2 linked regions of the Oryzias latipes genome follow. The protein of the gene in region 2 interacts with the protein of the main gene of each other region in a pairwise test. Links are inferred from orthologs where the notes say so. Each region holds a gene or a part of one and is shown on either strand. Other genes may lie near its edges.

Region 1 (4,446 bases), on a different chromosome or scaffold from region 2:
CTGCACCCTGGGAAATGAGGACTTTGGCCTGTCAGAACTCAAGATGTTGAGATGAGAATGGAAAAGATTTGAGTTCTTGGAAGGGGAACCCTTCCTCCTCAGATGTTTCAGATCTAAAGGTTTCCTCGCCGCTTCAATCCTCCAAAGTTCCTGACGCTCTTGCGTGTGTTCAGGTGACGCGGGTGGAGGAGCCGTCCAAATACGGCGTGGTGGTGTTTGAGGCGGAAAGCGGGAAGATCCATCGCTTCGTGGAGAAACCGCAGGTCTTTGTCTCCAATAAGATCAACGCCGGCATGTACATCTTCAATCCCAGCATGCTCAGCAGGATCCAGGTACGGGTGGCAGCGTCTTGTGGGTTTCCATAGCAGCAGGAAATGCAGTGCCGTCTGCAAATAACCGGGACTGCTTTCTCCGTCTGCGCAGCTGAGACCGACATCCATCGAGAAGGAAATATTCCCCGTCATGGCGGAGGAGAGCCAGCTGTACGCCATGGAGCTGCAGGGTAACTGTTCTGCACCACGCCGTTGCTATCCGCTCACCGACACCTGCTAAAGCTTTGGCTTCAGGAGGTCATGATGGTTCCTCAGGGTGTCCACCTGTCTGTCAGCTGATGGTTCAGGTGACACTTTTCTGATTGGTGGACATGTCAGTGACTCTGGTTAAAGAACTTTCTGCTCAGACTTTGACCAAATTCTGCGGTTTTACTGTGGTTCCAACTGAAGTTATTAGTTTTTACTTTTGCTCTAAAAAAAGTTAAATAATAGAAATAAAATAATAAAAAAATGAAAAATAACTGAAGCTTCCTTACACTGGTCCATCGTTTATCGCACTTAAAGTTTCTAAAATAACCGCCATAGAAGAAATGAGCATTCCTTTATTTTTGACTAATATTCTAGATGTTTTAAGCCTGTAAAGCTCCTCACTAAACACTTTTCTCTCTTCTCTCATTCAATTGGTCAGAAGAACCGTTTTTAACATCTTCTTCATAATTCTCATTTATTTTCATGATTTATTTTCTGTAGTCAAAGTTATTCAAGTTACAAACTGACCAATCAAATGCCTCAGTAAAAGTAGGAGGAGCCTGCTGGCCACACGTCCAACATTTCAAATGTTTGACAGGTTTTGTGTGGCCTGCTTTCAAGTGGAAGGGGCGTGGCCTTCCAACAGCCCCACTCCTGATTGATGAGTGGTTGCCATAGAAACCATGACTCAGACCAACTGGGACCAATCAGTGCTTCCTGAGGGAGTGGCGACTGAATTGACTTCATTTGGTTGGAGCTGGAAGTAAACCGTTTTGGGCTGATGACGTCACACTCGCTCAGTCCGGTTCTGTGATACAGGCGACGGTCGTGGTCACTCCCATCGGTTCGGCCGTTTTTCAGCAGACTCCTGGCCAGTAAAACCACGTGGAGGAGTGTTTTCTTGAAGTGACGTGGTCCTGCTCTGAGAACAGGAATGTCTTCCTCTAGAACCGCTTTAATGAAAGTTTGAGTGGATCTAGAGAAGAAAGGTTTTTCTGTCATTAAACATGTTCAGATGGTTTCTGTTTAGGATGAGTGTCATAAATGTTATCCAGAGATTTTGATGGCGTTGCTCTGGTCTCTGCAGCTCACGCCTCCGTCAGACGTAAGTGTTGGCTCTCTCCTCACATCCACTCTCCTGTAGTCGTGGTTTGTAGAGAAGCACCAACAGCCTTAGAACGGCGCCCAGCAGTCACTTCCTGCCCTGTCCTTCGTGTTCCGGCCCAAATGTCAGGCGGATCTGTTGGTGCTTCTCTGGACCCTCAGTGGAACAGGGACCAGAAGCAGCCAGATCCTAAGAACCTGGACTCCTGATTGGACCGTGCAGCTTTTGTTCCTGTGCTGTCACCCTTCCTTTCACCTCCTCCTGCTTGTCCTGGGCCGGGTCTCAGGGACAGAGGTCCTCACCTTCTCCCCCACCAAAGCTCCTCCAGTTCTGCCGGGGAGATGTTCACCTCAACCGGCTCCCCTCAGTGAGGAGGAGCAGCAGCTCTGCTCCCAGCTGCTCATGTAGAAGACACTTCTGTGATGGTGTTGGGGGTTGTTTCCATGGTAACCGGCCGTCCTCCGCAGGTTTCTGGATGGACATCGGTCAGCCCAAAGACTTCCTGACGGGGATGTGCATGTACCTGCAGTCGCTGAGGCAGCACGCTCCCGACAGGCTGCACACGGGACCCGGTTTCCTTGGCAACGTCTTGGTGGTGAGTCCCGCTCCATGTCGCTTCCCGGGAAACGAGTGCCTGTCGTCCATGGCGGTCTGCTCCCCTCCTCCCCCGCAGGACCCCTCCGCACAGATCGGACAGAACTGCACCATCGGGCCCAACGTCACCATCGGCGCCGGCGTGGTGGTGGAGGATGGCGTGAGGATAAAGCGCTGCACGGTGCTGAAGGGATCCAGAGTTCGATCGCACTCCTGGTTGGAGAGCTGCATTGTGGGATGGAGCTCCTCCGTGGGTCAGTGGGTGAGTACAGAGTCGGAGCCGTGGAACCGGAAGCTGAGCTGCAGTCTCACGGTGGGGGGGTCTGCGTCCTCAGGTGCGCATGGAGAACGTGACGGTGCTGGGGGAGGACGTCATTGTGAACGACGAGCTTTACCTGAACGGCGCCAACGTCCTGCCCCACAAGTCCATCAATGAGTCGGTCCCAGAGCCGCGCATCATCATGTAGCACCAGGAGGTTCTGTTTGGGCCGGACAGACACCCCAAGGGTGCCTCAGAGTGGGGGGGGGCGGGTGGAGGAGGAACTAAAAGCTCTTTTTTTTTCTGTTTGATTGTTTTGGACAAGTTCTGGCCCTGCTCAGCTGCTCAGAGAGCAGGACTGTTAGCTGAACGTCTGACCCCAGGTTCTGATCCAGACTGACGGACGGGGGCTGGAGCACTTGGTGGAGGGATAAATGGGGGGGGGGGTGTTTGGGGTAGACGGGGAAACGACAGTCACTTTCCATGTGTAGATTGAGTAGATCCTCAGTGGAGCTGCGCGTTTGGACCATGACCTTCAGAACCTCCATGGCCGTGGAGGCGGGAGGAGCCCGACGCGCAGAGTGGAGGATGCTGGGATTGTTTGTGTGCATATCTGAATGTGGATCCGCCTTCACTGTTCAGGGGCGGAGCTTAATAAATGTTGGGTTGAGCAGACGACAGGATGCAGCAGTTCTGTAGTCTGTTAGGCTGCATCTGTCTTCAGTCCTAAAAAGAAATGCCTTCAGAAGGACCCCCCCCCCCTGCTGAAAAACCAGGTTTTGTCTGGGGGGGGTTGTTTTATCCAGTCATTGTGTGTTACTGATCAATGGCAGACTCCTAAATGCTGCAGCTCCTTCTGGAGACTCGGTTTCCTCCTCAGAGACGAAGCTCTGCACTGAACCTCCTCCAGCTGGAATCCGTTTGACTGAAAGACTCACCACTGCAGATGCAGGCTGGCTTCTGCCATCACCTGCACACTCTGGTTTACTCTGGAACTAACCATTTCCCTCTGGAGTCTCTTTCTGTGGGCTTCAGGCTGTTTTCTGTGAAAGCTGCACGTTCCAGCTGGAAGCCTGGAAGGAGGTGTGACCTCCATCCAGGTGAGATCTTGGTGGCTGACGGTCCTCTCCAGCCATCATCCTGCATGATGTGAAAGGAAATGTTGGATCCGATGCTCCTCAGACCGACTTCCTCTCTGACATCATGAATTCTGTGATCGAATCATTTTCTCTGCTGAAACTTTCTGCATTCTTCGTTCAGGTGAAGGACGCGCGCGGCCCACCCGACACTAAAAACTGGTTTCTACGGTCTGCACTTTGTGAATGAGGCTGTTCAGAGCCATGTACTTCCTGTCTGAATGAAGATTGTTCATGAAATGAAGTTTTTTTTTCTAAAGAAGTTACTGACATCTGTTTATAGTCTTGTCTTTTTTATGTAAATGATTTTTCCTGAAGTTTCCCGGATGGTCTCAGGTTTAGTTTACAAGTATTTACATTACTTTTACACATTTTTACTCAATCATGTTTTCTAGAAAGACCATCACAAACACATTAGGCTGAGCCTGAATTGCAGTTTTACAATTTAACTTTTATTTCTATTTTTATTAAAGTCTTAAAACTCAGTTTTTATGTACAATTGGGGTTTTGCTATTTATTTTATTTGTTATTATGCAAAAATGAAGAGCAGAGCAGCAAGAATAAGCCAGCAGGAAAACATGACAACACAATGATTAGTACTTATCACTGTTGCATTTTCTGTTTGTAAATCTCCACCAGAAAAACATGAGCTCAGCCTTTGGCGGACTAATGTAGCTATAGACGCAGACAAAAACAACTCAAGTGAGATGGAAGTGATTTACCTGCTGGAGCAAAGCAGAGTGGTTCTCCGAACCACCTGAAAGGATTCTGTTCAGAACGATGCTGCCATCTACAGGCCACCGATAGAAATGCATCCAGCAAGGAGCTGCT
Region 2 (4,431 bases):
TTCCCATGTTGGGGCCATGGCTTTGCAGTGGCCACACCAGGGTGCAAAGAACTTCACAAAATGAGCCCCTGGAAAACAAAATGGAAATGGAAAAACCCAGCAGATGATTAAAAGTAGAAAATAAATTGATGAAGGATATAAACAATGTCTAGAATTGCACCAGAGTGTTTAAACTTAAATATGAAAATTTGATTTACGTGAAGAGTTGTAACAGAACACCAGATCTAGCACAGGGTTAGCCAGTATGTTAAATTGGGAACTATAACCACTGTTTTGAACACACACTTTATTTCTCATTCAAATAAAATAAATTGAAAGAACCTCAGAAGCCTACATTTTAAGAAAGATATTTCATGTACTGTTTGCGTTTGTAACTGTCTGATGAATCAAAAACATAAGTTGAGAGACTGGAAGGTCTTCAGTGTTCCCAATAGTGTTGAAATGCCAGTTATGCAAATCAAGGCAACGAAAGAACATTCAAACTAAAACAATACTGAAAGTATGTTATAGCAGGATGCAACTGCCCTAAACTGGGACCAGCCGCTAACTTCACCAGCTTAAAAATGCCCATATGATGAAGCACTAAAGACAGCTACCTTTGGATATGTGCTCCTTAAAGTTGAGAGCAGTGAGCTCATACATGCCCTGTTTGGGCTCCGGGGCTTTCGGTGGCTCCAGTTCACTTTCTGGTTCCTGGAGGGCAAACACATGCAGGCATGAGCGGACCCAAATCATCAATCCTTTAGAGAACGGCATCGACACTCACTGAAGGTTCCGCCTGGAGCGTCTTGAGCATCCATGTTTCCAACGACTGCAGGTCTCTGGGACCCTGGTATTTCACTGCTTCCTGATCTGGCTTAAACAACAAAAGCCTGTAGAGTAAAACAAACACATTTACTATGAAAATACTGTCATCTCTATGCGAACCTTAGCGAAGGAGTTAATTATCCTCCCAGACTTGTGAACTCAAAAGCATAACGTAGTAAAAACAGTCATTCTGTCAATCATTTTCTATGATTATAAGTTAAGTCAGAAACATCCAAGACAAAGCTGGGGTTTACATTTTAACTAAAACTGAGCTCTGCAGGTCAACAATTTGTTAATCAGCAAAAAACATGCAAAATTCTAACATTAAGAAGCTTAATTGAGCCATTTATGAAAAACACTCAGTTATAGCCATGTGAAGAATGTGAACAAGCAAATATAAATATTCTTTTTTCTAGTTAACTATAAACAGTAGTGGCCAAACCCCAAATCCCAGTACCATACTTCGAAAAAAAAAACAAAGAAACAAAGACTTCTGATCAAAAGTTGAACATTTTGAAAGTTATTTGGGGTTCTGTTACTTACGTGGGATAGCCTCTCACGCCGTGGACGTTGGAGCAGAACTTGGTGTCCTGAACACAATCTACTTTTACCACATACACCGGTGGCTCGTCCATACTGTTGTATTTCTCAGCCAGTTCATTCCATGTCGGCTGTAACCTCTGGCAATGGCCGCACCTGCAGAAAGCAGCAGACGTGGGCAAAGTTTCAAGCAGATGACCTCTATAGACATTAATCTTTCCTTTTTACAATCATTGTATAGTCATCACAATAGTAAATTGTAACAAAATTAGAGCAGCTTAAGACTAAGAGGCACAACAAGACATGAGTGTGCAAAACAAAAGGAAGTTAGGGTGCAAATATGCAAATATATAAACAATAATAATTATGAGTAAAAAGGAGTAAATTAAATATATAAAAAGAGAAGTGCAATTTCAGATGAGGTTATGGTTGTTAGAGGTCTTTAAAACAGTTTTCTTTTAGAGATATTAAAAAAATAAAGACATGTAATGCACTGTTGACAGGCGAATCAGTTCATTTCAGCCTGAAGATGTTAGCATCCATTTCTTTGGACCTGGAAAAACATGAGTTTGGATATTTTTTTGTTAATATATCAATATGTTGTCAATATATAATCTTTTAAACTGATTTTCTGAAATTTGAATCAAATAAATCTTGTAGAGGCCATATCGTTCACTGACCAAGTGAGCAAGCTAGGCACATTTGTGGTGAAACAATCTACTTTCTGTGGATAATAAGGTTCCATTTAAATATGCAAAACTACTTCTTGCACTACTAATCTGCAGGCAGACTAAGATCCCCAGAGGATGCTTTCTAAAAGAAAATGTGCATGCGTCGTAGAATTGATAAAAATCAAAAGTAGTAGACTAGCATATTGGCCCAATTGGCGTTTGAGCTTTTGCAGGTTTGCACATTCTAGGTTTGCCAAACAAGTTCTGTACTATTTTTTGGCAACTTTCCAGGTATGTTATGAAGAAAAAGAATTTATGAATTTAGGGTATACTCCTTTTTTGTATTAAACTGTCAAAGGTGGTCCTGGGGGGCTTTTAATTAGTGATGCAAGTTCAGTCAATCGGTTCGTGCCACGTAAGCACAGATTTTTACAATTTAAGGACGAAATAGAATTGTTAACTGTACGATTTAAAGCATTTGGGATGAGCAATTACGTTTGAAAATTAACTTCAGGGCTTGAAAGCTGTGTGCAACTCTTAAAGGTTCACATAATTTGTTTAAAGCAGAGAATCTGCTACCTAGCTAGCTTCTTAGCAGCTAAGCTAAACTAAGGCACCGGTTTCTACTAAGGTTTAGGAATAGCCAACTAGCTTACATGCTAACTAGTTTAGTTGCTAAAAGCCGGCGAGTTTTAATCCCAACGAAATCGCTTCCCCACACAGGATTTGCTGATAAAAACGGTCAACTTTATCGATACTATTTTCATTTATCTTACTTTTCTATCACTTGGTATGCATCAAATTACTTACCAGGGAGCGTAAAACATGACAAAGTGGGGTGCAGTGGGCACCGCCTCGTTAAACATCTCCACCGTGTACGTGTGCTTAGCATGCTCCTCTTCTTCTGCGTCGGTATCGCAAAGCACACCCGCGAACAGTAACGAAAAATAAAGAAACAAATGCATCCTTGGGACGCGTTGCAGTGCTGAAAACATAGTGAGTCTCGTAGGGTGAATGGTCTCCCTCCGAAAAGACCGACTTCACCAGGCCACGCCCCTCTGCTGTCAGAGAGCAGAGGAATATAGACTCTGCAGGTGACGGGATTAGACGGGAATGAGGCAGCGCACGGTCCAGATATTTTGTAGATCGGTGTTAAAGTGCGGAAGCGTCATGACCTGTTTGCAATGTCAAGAGAAATTAAAAAGCAAGTAGATTAAAGAGTTTAAGGAATTTTGGAAAAACTAGAGTAGATAAATTGTTGACCATCTTCGAAAGGACTTTTATTTGAAATTTTTATTTTTATTTTGTAGAAAGTAAAGGGTGGATCTTGCATGGAGCCCCAGGTAGAGGGAGAATGTCAGTGATCTGGTATTTCTTCCATTTTCTAATACAATAATTGCTCCAACAGTTTATCTCTTCTCGTCAAGCTCTCTCACAGTGGAAGCGTACATATAAAAATAAAAAAGGCCTCTCTCATCTTTGACAGATAATCACCCCCCCCCCCCCCCAACTAAACTTGAAATTAAATGAAGGCTTATGTCATTCCTTTTGCTGCTGTAGAGAAATTCATTTAAAAACACTTAACAATGTTTATCTATGTAAAAGGATTTAAATAATCACACTCATTGGGTCTTTGTTATACAGTATGTTTAAAATGTTTTTCAATTGAATAATTTGGCAAGGATCTTCTAAACAAACAAACAAACAAACAAACAAACAAACAAACAAACAAACAAACAAACAAACAAACACATAAAAAAAAAGTCCAATCAGTACTGCAGCAAAGCAAAAGTTTTGGAATTTTAACCATTTGGGGTAAAGGGCTGAAGTCATCTTTAGTCCGCAAATGCTGATTTGCTGAAGTCAACCTTAGTTTATTGTATTAAAAAAATGACAAATTTTATATCGGAAAAACCTTTATTTAAAAAATATCTGCCTAAAAATGAATAGATCTGTGTATGAAGTTGTAATGGCGTGTTGATTGCTAACTGTTGTATCTAAAAGTGCTGTAATTAACAATGTGAACATTAAGAGTCTGGCTTTTTTTTAGCTTTGCATTTCATATAACGGTGACATTTCTCATTCAAAGTGTGTTAAGTTAATTATAAAAGGGTTTGTAGATCAGGACTGACTGCACCACCTTGGCAACAAAAGTAATTTTCCTGAATACTGAAGGTTGTCTCTCAAAAAAATTACCTGGTAGTTCTGATCATACATAGATTTAAAACATACATATAAGTTAATGTCGTATTTCATTAAAATGAACTCTGGTCTAAAAAGTGTGTGAGCACACAGTTTTACTTATGAAAATGTTCTACACTAATGGTTAGAAATGAGTCAGATGTGCCTCCTCATCATCACCTCAAACGATCCTTTAATATGAGAAGAAATTCATCTCACGTATTATGTTGGA

What was found.
Region 1: the proteins of txndc5 (region 2) and gmppb interact in a two-hybrid assay, tested with the Homo sapiens proteins (2 studies listed by BioGRID and IntAct). The two-hybrid records come from large-scale screens. The link is inferred for Oryzias latipes from reciprocal best matches to the Homo sapiens genes TXNDC5 and GMPPB.

Annotation. Positions count from the first base shown.
Region 1 is NC_019863.2:32,747,398-32,751,843, forward strand, and holds the end of gmppb (mannose-1-phosphate guanyltransferase beta), read left to right. Parts: intron 1-173; coding exon 174-332; intron 333-423; coding exon 424-502; intron 503-2,093; coding exon 2,094-2,221; intron 2,222-2,299; coding exon 2,300-2,482; intron 2,483-2,555; coding exon 2,556-2,687; 3' UTR 2,688-3,893; downstream 3,894-4,446. UniProt on the Homo sapiens protein: Catalytic subunit of the GMPPA-GMPPB mannose-1-phosphate guanylyltransferase complex. Catalyzes the formation of GDP-mannose, an essential precursor of glycan moieties of glycoproteins and glycolipids. Can catalyze the reverse reaction in vitro.
Region 2 is NC_019878.2:12,663,712-12,668,142, forward strand, and holds the start of txndc5 (thioredoxin domain-containing protein 5), read right to left. Parts: upstream 3,079-4,431; 5' UTR 3,014-3,078; coding exon 2,829-3,013; intron 1,504-2,828; coding exon 1,351-1,503; intron 873-1,350; coding exon 767-872; intron 694-766; coding exon 597-693; intron 69-596; coding exon 1-68. UniProt on the Homo sapiens protein: Protein disulfide isomerase of the endoplasmic reticulum lumen involved in the formation of disulfide bonds in proteins. Can reduce insulin disulfide bonds.